Linked DNA regions of Arabidopsis thaliana. The protein of the gene in region 2 interacts with the protein of the main gene of each other region in a pairwise test. Each region holds a gene or a part of one and is shown on either strand. Other genes may lie near its edges. The genes, in order: TT2, TT1 and PAP1.

What was found.
Region 1: the proteins of TT1 (region 2) and TT2 interact in a two-hybrid assay, tested with the Arabidopsis thaliana proteins (one study listed by BioGRID).
Region 3: the proteins of TT1 (region 2) and PAP1 interact in a two-hybrid assay, tested with the Arabidopsis thaliana proteins (one study listed by BioGRID).

The regions. Positions count from the first base shown.
Region 1 is NC_003076.8:13,725,055-13,728,617, forward strand, and holds TT2 (Duplicated homeodomain-like superfamily protein), read left to right. Parts: upstream 1-1,688; 5' UTR 1,689-1,752; coding exon of another isoform or gene 1,753-1,816; coding exon 1,817-2,094; intron 2,095-2,167; coding exon 2,168-2,675; 3' UTR 2,676-2,907; downstream 2,908-3,563. UniProt on the Arabidopsis thaliana protein: Transcription activator, when associated with BHLH2/EGL3/MYC146, BHLH12/MYC1, or BHLH42/TT8. Involved in the control of flavonoid late metabolism in developing siliques.
Region 2 is NC_003070.9:12,762,008-12,766,208, forward strand, and holds TT1 (C2H2 and C2HC zinc fingers superfamily protein), read left to right. Parts: upstream 1-1,894; 5' UTR 1,895-1,945; coding exon 1,946-2,428; intron 2,429-3,053; coding exon 3,054-3,482; 3' UTR 3,483-3,679; downstream 3,680-4,201. UniProt on the Arabidopsis thaliana protein: May act as a transcriptional regulator involved in the differentiation of young endothelium. Altered differentiation results in incompetence for pigments synthesis and the lack of condensed tannins in the seed coat.
Region 3 is NC_003070.9:21,232,901-21,237,128, reverse strand, and holds PAP1 (production of anthocyanin pigment 1), read left to right. Parts: upstream 1-1,836; 5' UTR 1,837-2,039; coding exon 2,040-2,160; intron 2,161-2,700; coding exon 2,701-2,830; intron 2,831-2,919; coding exon 2,920-3,415; 3' UTR 3,416-3,574; downstream 3,575-4,228.

The DNA.
Region 1 (3,563 bases), on a different chromosome or scaffold from region 2:
CATATTCTATATTTCAATGCATTAAATCTTAGAAAAATTAGTTTTACAAAAAAAATCAAAATTTAACTAAAAATAGATTAAAAATCATTATTAAATTTTAAATTTTAAATGAAAACAGGAAAATATTATTATAGTTAATTAAGTAAGGAAATTGCTTATTTTTATAGTGTCAATTAAAACACTTCAATTATTTCTATACAATATTTTTTATAAAAAAAAATCAACCACAAAAATTATTAGAATAAAACGTAATACAAATGAATTTTATTTTAAAAACTTTTTTGCTGAAATCAACATTGTTAGATTTTCTATCTTTTTATATATTAAAAAGAAAAATTGCAAGTTTTTGGTTGTTTATGTGTTACTACGAGAACTTTTCTTAATAATATTTGTTACAAAAGGAACTACATAGTATACAAAAATAAATTTAGACTAAAGAGTATATAAAAAATATTATAATTTTCTTTACCATGCAAACTTTAGATTAAAGAGTCATATACTCAATTTCATATTGCTTCCTAATACAATTGAGTATATGACTCTTTAATCTAAAGTTTAATAATGATTTTTATTCTAGTTTTAGTTTAGTTTTGAAATTAAAAATAAAACTAATTATTATAAGATTTAATGCATTGAAAATACAAATATATTTTTACGAAATATAGAATATGTTTTTGAATATATAAAAGAAAAAAAATATTTTCGTATTTTTGAGTATTAAAAATAATTTTAAATTTTTTTGTTGGTCAACGCCGGTCAACACTAGTCAAAGCCTGAGTCAACTGACCGGTTTACCGGAATTGTATGTCAATGGTGTTAACCACATGACGTCCTATACTTCATATATGTGGTCATGTAATACATCTACTTCGTGTCTACTTCGTGTAGCTGGATATACAATGTATAGTAGGTATGTGTGACCATGTATTCTCTTATACTTTGTTTACCTAGCAATCTTTTTTTTAAATTAAAATAAATATGCGGTTTAGATATGAAACTACCCAACAAATTTAACATTTTAAACGTTCATAACGTAAAACGACGTCGTTATAGACACATATTTTCCATGTGTCTGCTGACTTATCATCTTCACGGAGTTGACTAACACCCGTTACTTTGACTCTGAATTTTGTACTTTTTCTTAAGTTGAGGTATGAAATTCAAATAAATATGCGGTTAATATATGAAAATACCCAACAAATTTTTTTGGATACGAAAATACACTCAGAAAATAGTACGGGTATGAAAATACCCTTTTCCCGTATTTGATACATGTCTAATTCGGTTCAAATAAACCGAATATGAAAATTTTCAGTTTTATTTCGGAAGTTAAATAAATCTAGATAACCGACCTGAAAAACCCGAGTCCCGACCGAACCGAACCGAAATTAAATTCGGTTTAATTCGGAAGCATTTCCAAAAACCGAAATTCCCTAAAACCGAATAACCCGACCCGATTAAACCGATTTGCCGAACTCCCAGGCCTAAATTCACACTTGGCTTAGAAAAACTCTTTGTAGATGTTAAAATTCGGTAAAATTAACCTCACCAAAGCTAATTATTACCAGGTGAAGAAAGCATTAAAATTTCAAAGTGTGTATGACAGAGGTTTTAGAAAGCGACTGATGTACGGACATATCAACAACTCCCCTATAAAGATACTCAGCTAAACACAAAAACAGAATCTATTCTCAACACAACACTAAAGACAATTGTACCAACCACACAACCACAAGAGAGAGAAAAGTGAGAATGGGAAAGAGAGCAACTACTAGTGTGAGGAGAGAAGAGTTAAACAGAGGAGCTTGGACTGATCATGAAGACAAGATCCTTAGAGATTACATCACCACTCACGGCGAAGGCAAATGGAGCACTCTCCCTAACCAAGCTGGTACTAATCTCTCTATCTACCGATCCGTCTTTATATCTTCTACGTACAATAATTGTCTTGGCACACATAAAAGGTCTCAAGAGGTGTGGCAAAAGCTGTAGACTTCGGTGGAAGAACTACCTAAGACCGGGGATAAAGCGCGGTAACATCTCATCTGATGAAGAAGAACTCATAATCCGTCTCCATAATCTTCTTGGAAACAGGTTTTTCACTAACCACATAGAATTTTCTTTTTGTAGTAAAGTTATTTGTTATGTGACATTATAATTAAAGCAGATGGTCGTTGATAGCTGGGAGGCTTCCAGGCCGAACAGACAATGAAATAAAGAATCATTGGAACTCAAACCTCCGCAAAAGACTTCCCAAAACTCAAACCAAGCAACCAAAACGTATAAAACATTCGACGAACAACGAGAATAATGTATGTGTTATACGTACAAAGGCGATTAGGTGCTCAAAGACTCTTCTCTTCTCGGATCTCTCTCTTCAGAAGAAGAGTAGTACTAGTCCACTACCTCTGAAAGAACAAGAGATGGATCAAGGTGGATCTTCGTTGATGGGAGATCTCGAATTCGATTTCGATAGGATCCATTCGGAGTTTCACTTCCCGGATTTGATGGATTTTGATGGTTTGGACTGTGGAAACGTTACATCTCTTGTTTCATCTAACGAGATTTTGGGAGAGTTGGTTCCTGCTCAAGGTAATCTCGATCTCAATAGACCTTTCACTTCTTGTCATCATCGTGGCGACGATGAAGATTGGCTCCGAGACTTCACTTGTTGAGCCTATATTGCAAAAACCTACGTTAATACATATTTCTCTATACGGACAAAAGTATATCTGTATTTGTCTGAACGCTTCTAATTACTAACTTACTAAGGAGACCAAGAAATACAAATAATTATACGATCCACATGTTATAGAAATGGGTTTTGTCTTTAACTAATAATTTTTTATTATTGCAAATACGTACGACATAAATATTTTTGATAGATTTTGTAAATTTATGTATGAGCAAATGATAGAGCTTTTATTATAACCTAACCACCGCTTAACCACCCAACCTATAAATTCTACTTGTGAATTATTGGTAATACGAATCAACTTTACAATTTTGTTATTACGAAATATTACTAGAATATACATGTATAGTCTATTTATAGGCAGGCATAGTCATTAATGTAAGGAATTTGTTCTTCTCATTTTTGGAATCATCGTATAAATAAATACTAGATGCATGGTTGTTCTAAGTCATGTGCCAGTACATATTTGAAAAACAAAACAAAGGAATATTCCGGATTTTCCCCCTATCTCCTGTATTTTATGGGTACAATTTAGAAGTTTATGTATTTTAAGGATACTAAAAAATCATGTATTTTATTGGACATCAAAAAGTGTTTGTATTTTAAAGGAAACTAGATTCTGACCCGCACATACGTGCGGGGTTTCATATTTTAAGAAATGTATTAGAATACATTTTTAGTGAAAGATATTGTAGTGTATAAATTATAATGTGCATAGAAAAGTGTATAGTGTTATTTATGATATAATAACTAAATTTTTTTTATTAATTTATATTATTTATATTTCATTTGTGTTTTGCATAGTAAATCGAATGTTAGATTTGTTTTGATTTGCGGAATAATATAGAGATATTTGGAAAATCTGTGT
Region 2 (4,201 bases):
TCTAATACTTAAATACTGGTTAAATCACCAATTTATTATTCTTAATACCACATATTAAACATATCTAATCTTTACTGATTCAATAAAGATTGTGTGAAACAAAAGTTGTCTTGCAAAGAATTAATATTGTACATAGATTTTGTTCTGGTAGCTAGTACTAAAATCCATTAATAAAACTAATACGGTATCTTTATTGATCATGTAACATGAATTATTCATGTATATACAATTGACCCTATTAATTTTGCATAAATTTCAACTTGGCAAATTCATTGATTTTGTAAACCGTTAATTCTGCTAATTTCACAATTCTCTTGTACGCTAAAAATTTATGCGTATTATCGTATTGATATGCAAATATCGAAGAATTTATAGTTTTATATAGTAGAAATGAAGGTATTTGCAAAACGAGTTCTAACGTGAAATAACACTAATTAATTAATTAGAGTTTGAACCTACAGAGATTCGACTTGATCCACTTGAAAAATTCATTTACTCTACTAATTTGGTTACTCCATGGACCATGATTATGCTATTCTGTAGGACTCTAACAACTGACTTGACACAATCTCTTTCGTGAACAATAATGGGTTATATTTTTTTGTTTTGTTTTTTCGGACAAATTAGCCACGTTGCTTTAGACCATTTTGTAGTTCTTATCTTGAATCAAAGTCTCAGCTAAAAAAAAAAAAAAAACGCTTAAATCCACTAGCTAGACTACGACTACGTTGGTTAAATGTTTTTTTTTAAATACAATACATTGAAGTTAAATATTTGAATAAAGAAAATCTAATCAGCATGTATACAGTATATTAGAAGTAATACTTGATCAGAAAAATAACATACAATAATAAAATAATAAAAAAATTATGTTAGTTTTTGGGAATATTATAATTCTACTTTCAATCAAAATAACTAAAAGAAATAAAATCTTCACACATAGTGGTAATAATTGGCTAGTATGAATATTGAATTGTGGAGACCCGGCATAATATTTGACTAGGCAGAAATTATTGATATGTACTAAGTTAATAACCTTGCAAAGAAATTCTTTTAGTGAAACGTGTACATTTGTAAAAACAGATTTAACACTAAATCTTGACTTGTATATACTATTAATTATTCCTTTTCTCTTATTGGTATGTCAAATCTAGTGTTTACAAAACCAGAGGTGTTGACCGTTAGAGAGAGAATTAAACAACTTACATACATACAAAACATAACCCAAAAAAATAATAATAATGCATCTTCCATAATAATAATAATATGAATTCAACATTAGCATTCATTTCATTACCCAAATCCGAAATTTCATTGATTAAAATTAATACAATTGTATTGTAGAAAAGCTAAAAGCTTACGTAAATGCCAAAGATAGTCAAAACCCTGCAATGACAAAGTTGCCAAAATCTTGAAGAGTTTGGTCCACAAAATTTAAGGTTCTTGTTTTTCCACTCTATTTATAGGCAAAGAGATGAGACAGAGAAGATTAAATTACTTCTTAACAAAGGTTGTTTTCACTCAACCACATGCATTCTCAAGTGTCTGCTCCTCACATTCCCCAAGATTCCCATTTACTCACTTCTCTATTTGGTACGTAAGTCACACAATATGATTCTAAATTATTTTACACATTATTCGTTTTGTTCACACTTGCTTTCGACTTTCGTAAACCTATATAGTTCATCCAATATTATTCGGTAAATTCGATATTTATCAATCTTTATTCTCGTAGGTTAAAGGAGACGATTGATACGTGGGATCTACTTACGTATCTGCATGATTATTAGTTATAAAAGTTATTGCAAACATTAAATTACTTTCATAGAGAGCAATCATTATATTAAGGTAATTTAATTTTATTATATATAGTCAAGATTTAAAGGAATAAAGAAAAGATTCTCAAAACATTTCATCTCTCTCCAACAACTATTCACCACATTCAATGGAGTCACCACCACTATACGAGATATCCTCAAGCTCTTCTTCTGAAAAACCTAGACACCATTTCCAATCCCTTGATCTCTTCCCTAACCTCAACCAAAACTCTTGTATCAACAATACCCTAATTGAGCCTTTACCGCTTATTGATCGCATAAACTTGAACTCAAACCTAGACCTAAACCCTAATCCCTTGTATGCGGAAGAAGGAGAGCAAGAGGAGGAAGAAGAAGAAGAAGAAGACCGTGAAGTGGACGTGGACTTACACATCGGCCTTCCTGGTTTTGGTAAACCAAGCAATGATGCTAAACAGCTGAAGAAGAGAAATGGGAAGGAGATCGCCACATATGACGCCGGAAAAGGCATCGAGAATGAACTTTCCGGAAAGGCATACTGGATCCCGGCGCCGGAGCAAATTCTCATAGGGTTCACTCATTTTTCTTGCCATGTATGCTTCAAGACATTCAATCGCTACAACAATCTTCAGGTACGAGTCAATATATCTCATGCGCATTGCTTTTCCATGCACAAACATATATAATAAATTCATCTTATAGAGTTATATCTCCGGATCTAATGTTATGAGTTTATTCATATCTATATATATACATATATATATATATATATATATATATATATATATAATTCTGAATTTATTTGATAAAAGCTAAACAACCAGGATTTAATAGATGATTTACCTTTGGATCTTATTATACAATTTACAAATTTAATCAAGTCAACTAATCGTGATTTAATTACTTTTTTTTGTAAGAAGAGTTGGTAATATATATTTTTATGGTAATGTTTTCATGAAAATAATTCATCACAACTCTTTACATTTATTTAATGCCTTAACTAAAGCTGAATTCGAAAAAGTTGAAATAAATTATCTACTAAGATTTGATTGACTATAGTTTTTAATAGTTTTCTTTTCTCATATATATATTATCATAGTAGTCAAAACATTTGATTCAAACTTAAATACACAGATTTCTTGAATGAAACATTACTATGCTCGGTCAATAATATGATTTTAAGGAACCATGTTATTTCATTTTATTACTTAAGGAAACCTTTTTGTTTTTTGTTGACTCTAAATATTATGAATATAGATGCACATGTGGGGACATGGTTCACAATACAGGAAAGGACCGGAGTCACTGAAAGGCACACAGCCACGAGCCATGTTAGGGATCCCTTGTTACTGCTGCGTTGAAGGGTGCAGGAACCACATTGACCATCCTCGTTCCAAGCCACTGAAAGACTTTAGGACGCTCCAAACGCACTACAAACGCAAACACGGACACAAACCCTTCTCGTGTCGCCTTTGCGGTAAGCTTTTGGCTGTCAAGGGCGATTGGCGAACACATGAGAAGAATTGTGGAAAACGTTGGGTTTGCGTTTGCGGTTCTGATTTTAAACACAAACGTTCTCTTAAGGACCATGTTAAGGCGTTTGGGTCTGGTCATGGGCCTTATCCAACTGGTTTGTTTGAAGAGCAGGCTTCTAATTCATCTGTCTCCGAGACTTTGTTTTTTTAAATTTGGGCATCTTTTTCTTTCGCTTATGAAATATCTATTTACTTTAGAAAAATAATAATGTGGTATCTAATTGTTCCAAATTAGGAACACGAAGTGTACCATTATATTTTTCATCACTACAAATGTTATTCAGAGAAAATTATCATTAATTGTCTCGTTAAAGATAGAATAGGGTTTGAATTTATCAAATATTAAAAACAGATCAATACAAAATTGACCATGCATATGCACTTGAATATTCTGATTTCTTTATGATGTAATCTCATTCAAGAAAAGCTTTGGGAAAATTTCAACAAAAAAAAGAAATATTTAATATTTGTCAATAATAAAACCCCTGAATTTTTTTTTTCTAATTGGAAAATCAACTGATCTCATTGTGTATTTTTATTCTTGAATTTAATTGAGAAATCAACTAATCTATTGCTATTTTTGTTTGTATTTATCTTGTTTAATTTAACATTTAACATTTTAAATATTTTTTTTGATGGTACATTGTATGATTGTTAGTTTGTTATTGAATTGCAGTTGTTTTTCTTAAATTAAAAATTTGAGTTTGTAAATAAGTTTTGCAACAGTTGTTGATGATGATTCCAAGTCATATTTTTATTCTTTTAAATTTAAGACCAAATATTTGATATATATGTTGGTCGAAAGACCTAATATATAGCCAATGTATGTATTTGGGTTGATCTAGCTAGTCTGGTTAAATTGAAATACTT
Region 3 (4,228 bases), 8.5 Mb from region 2:
TTTTAATAAACGAGAAACACTACAAAAAAAGTTAACTGCATTTAGATAATTTAATAAACTAAAATATCCACATAAAAATTTCAAATTTATCAAAAATAAAACATCAATTTGTTTTTTGTTTTAAATTAAAGATTTGCTATTGATTGCATAAGGAAGAAAACTTTACAAAGCCGAAAGGCCTAAGAGCCCAACACACACAAAAGAAGAACCATTTTGGATCAAGGGAACCGACCATGGGTATTAGAAGTAGTGGTATAAAGCCCATCATATCCCAACACATAACCCACGAATGTTTAATATTAAAAGTTTGTTGTTCGGCTCATGATTAGCGATGATCATACAGAAAGTTTGTATCTAATACGTGCCTTGAATTTTATGTGTACAACAAACAAATTAAATTATTCAAAACCATAAATTATAAAAAATAATTACAGAAATAAAACTATATTAAGAGCGAGCCTACCATCCGGTGTGCAACTTTCTAGTTTATATACAGTGGCGGATCAACGTTAATGAGGCAAATTGGTTCAAATTCATCTAAATAAGACTAGAGTTCACAGGTTCGATTCCTCCTTATAACAATTTGCTCCCACCAATTTTTTTTGCTGGGTCCGCCCCTGGTTATATATATACTTCTACACCAGGTTTGGGTTCGAGTCCACACATAATTAACGACACAATTATAGTGCACGATAGAATGAACTAAAACAGCTAGAGCGTAGAGGGCTCATTGTCTATAAAAATCCTTCGTTAACTTGCAAGAAACCAAGAGTAGAGGGCTCACACTTAAGTCTCCTACATGACGATTATATTTCGTCAAAAAGAAGCAATTAGTTAGCTTTACAGCATATCATTTCGCCTAGGTTTTCCATCGTACACGTAAATTTTCATGCAAGAAAGCAGAAATATACAAATACTAACTTTTAGATACTGAAAAATGAGATCAGATTCTAGTCAAATTTTGTTAAAAGTATTTATAAATTTAAATTGCAAGTCCTCAAAAAGTACGACTAAAAATGCTTTTCTTAGAAAATGATAATAAACCGGCGTTTTATATATAAGTGTTTCTTTTTCTCTTCTGTCCAGAAGTAAATCATTAAGAACCAATATGGCTTTTCTTAAACTAATCTCCGTGATAATCAAATCTTTGATCATTCTCCACACAATCCCATCAACAACATCGATCTCACTAGATGCACCAACAATGATTCTAATCGGCACTACTAACTATAGAGATAGTTGTCCCAAAAAAAAAAAAAAAAACTAACTAGAGAGATAAATCATATTCAATACATGTACTATTTCTACTATACTTAAGAAAATTTGTATACCACTATCTTAACTCTTAACACTGAACATACTATACACTATCTTAACTCCCAACTCTTGTAAAAGAATATCTAATTTTAAGAAAAGACTTCAAATGCTTGTTAAATTTCTAGTGAAGATGCACATTCTAAAAACTGGTAAAATGGTAAGAAAAAAATATATAAAAAAATAGCCTTATTAAAATTTATATCTCCTATTTCTCTATCCAAACTACACGGATGAAGCTTATTGTTATTCATCCACCCTTTTTCTCAATTCTGTCCTATTTCTTGTGCATGAAACTTCTCCATCTTGTAATCGGATAAATCATACCCAAATTTTTTCTTTCTGAAAACATATATACCCGAACATTAATTACTATCGTCCTTTCTCCTAATTTTGTTAAGAAACATGTTTGTTTGTTTTTAGTACTGAAAAAGGATGGAGATACTTGCTAGATCCTATGAACCTTTTCTCTCTAGGACAAATCAGTAACCAAACAATAACTTAGCAAATTAAGCACGACAGCTAATACATAAAATGTGGATATCAAACATGCACGTCACTTCCTTTTTTCCGTCACGTGTTTTTATAAATTTTCTCACATACTCACACTCTCTATAAGACCTCCAATCATTTGTGAAACCATACTATATATACCCTCTTCCTTGACCAATTTACTTATACCTTTTACAATTTGTTTATATATTTTACGTATCTATCTTTGTTCCATGGAGGGTTCGTCCAAAGGGCTGCGAAAAGGTGCTTGGACTACTGAAGAAGATAGTCTCTTGAGACAGTGCATTAATAAGTATGGAGAAGGCAAATGGCACCAAGTTCCTGTAAGAGCTGGTATGTTATTTACGAACACACACACACTAACCGACACACACACACACAAATATGAATATCTATAATCACTACCAATAGTCTTCGTTCTCTCTATTTTCTATTCAGAAAATTGATTAATACCCGGTATTAAAAAAAAAAAAAAAAATTTGTTTAAATGAGTACAAATCATTGTTACAACTTCTTTATGCTGTTTTTACATGCTATTAAAGGTTGTGCATGAAAATTTCTTTTGCTGTTCGTATTTGTTTTACACCTAAACGAAGATTTTTACTTAAAATTAAAGAAAAAAAATTATACTAATTTTAGTTACGTTGCGTATTGCTAGCTTCTCCTATAAAGTCGTTCAAATTTTTACACGCTTGTCTTCTTGTAAATGAATTCGTGGGAAAATTTTGTATGAACACGTGTTTCTGTGTTGGAACAGTTCTTTATTTTTATTGGTGTGCATAGATTCTTCCTGATAAAATATATAGAAGGAGACAAATAAAAAACAGTCTTAGTATGTAGGTATAATCAAAGAATCAATTATTGGTTTTGTAGGGCTAAACCGGTGCAGGAAAAGTTGTAGATTAAGATGGTTGAACTATTTGAAGCCAAGTATCAAGAGAGGAAAACTTAGCTCTGATGAAGTCGATCTTCTTCTTCGCCTTCATAGGCTTCTAGGGAATAGGTATTAATTGTTACCTCGATACTACTTAACTCGGAGAGTCGTCATAAGTTAATACTAATAACATATGTATATTTTCTTACAATTGTTAGGTGGTCTTTAATTGCTGGAAGATTACCTGGTCGGACCGCAAATGACGTCAAGAATTACTGGAACACTCATCTGAGTAAGAAACATGAACCGTGTTGTAAGATAAAGATGAAAAAGAGAGACATTACGCCCATTCCTACAACACCGGCACTAAAAAACAATGTTTATAAGCCTCGACCTCGATCCTTCACAGTTAACAACGACTGCAACCATCTCAATGCCCCACCAAAAGTTGACGTTAATCCTCCATGCCTTGGACTTAACATCAATAATGTTTGTGACAATAGTATCATATACAACAAAGATAAGAAGAAAGACCAACTAGTGAATAATTTGATTGATGGAGATAATATGTGGTTAGAGAAATTCCTAGAGGAAAGCCAAGAGGTAGATATTTTGGTTCCTGAAGCGACGACAACAGAAAAGGGGGACACCTTGGCTTTTGACGTTGATCAACTTTGGAGTCTTTTCGATGGAGAGACTGTGAAATTTGATTAGTGTTTCGAACATTTGTTTGCGTTTGTGTATAGGTTTGCTTTCACCTTTTAATTTGTGTGTTTTGATAAATAAGCTAATAGTTTTTAGCATTTTAATGAAATATTTCAAGTTTCCGTGTTTACATTTTGAAGAAAATAAAATATTAATATATTCTGAAGATTTTTGTTTTTTTTTGGTTATCTACATGACAACAGTAAAAATAGAAAAAAAATCTTATTTTTTGAAAAAGGTATGTATCCGGTGTTTAGAATACTTTCCGAAATCAAACCGCCTATATTTCTAATCACTATGTAAAATTGTAAACCAATTGGGTTAAAACTCAACTAACAAACTTTCTAAATAAATGTCATTTTTGTTTTCAAATATGATTGAACTCGGATTTAGGAGTTTTACCCTTCAGTACCAAACCTTCTCTACCGACCATGTATGGTTGGGCAAATGTCATGTTTTACAATGTTTAGATTACTAAACACTTTGGTTGAGAAGGCAATGCTTTATTTATATATTCTGAAGTCATGTTTTAGTGTTATTTTTATTTATTTTTAAATGCATAGATTGTTAACGTGCAGATTCTCATATGGGCTTAGTTTCTGGATTTTGATTATCAAAACCGTATTCCACTCTTAAATGATTACGACAAAAAAATCAATACTACTAACAAACCTATTTCCCAGTTATTAATTAGTCAATAACAATTGTCAAATTTAATAACGTACTTGCTAGTAATAAAGTTTTAACGACGATCATAGATAGGTTTTTGAAACCCATACTCGCAGAAGTTCTGATACAAAAATTTGTACTCCCTCTATTTCA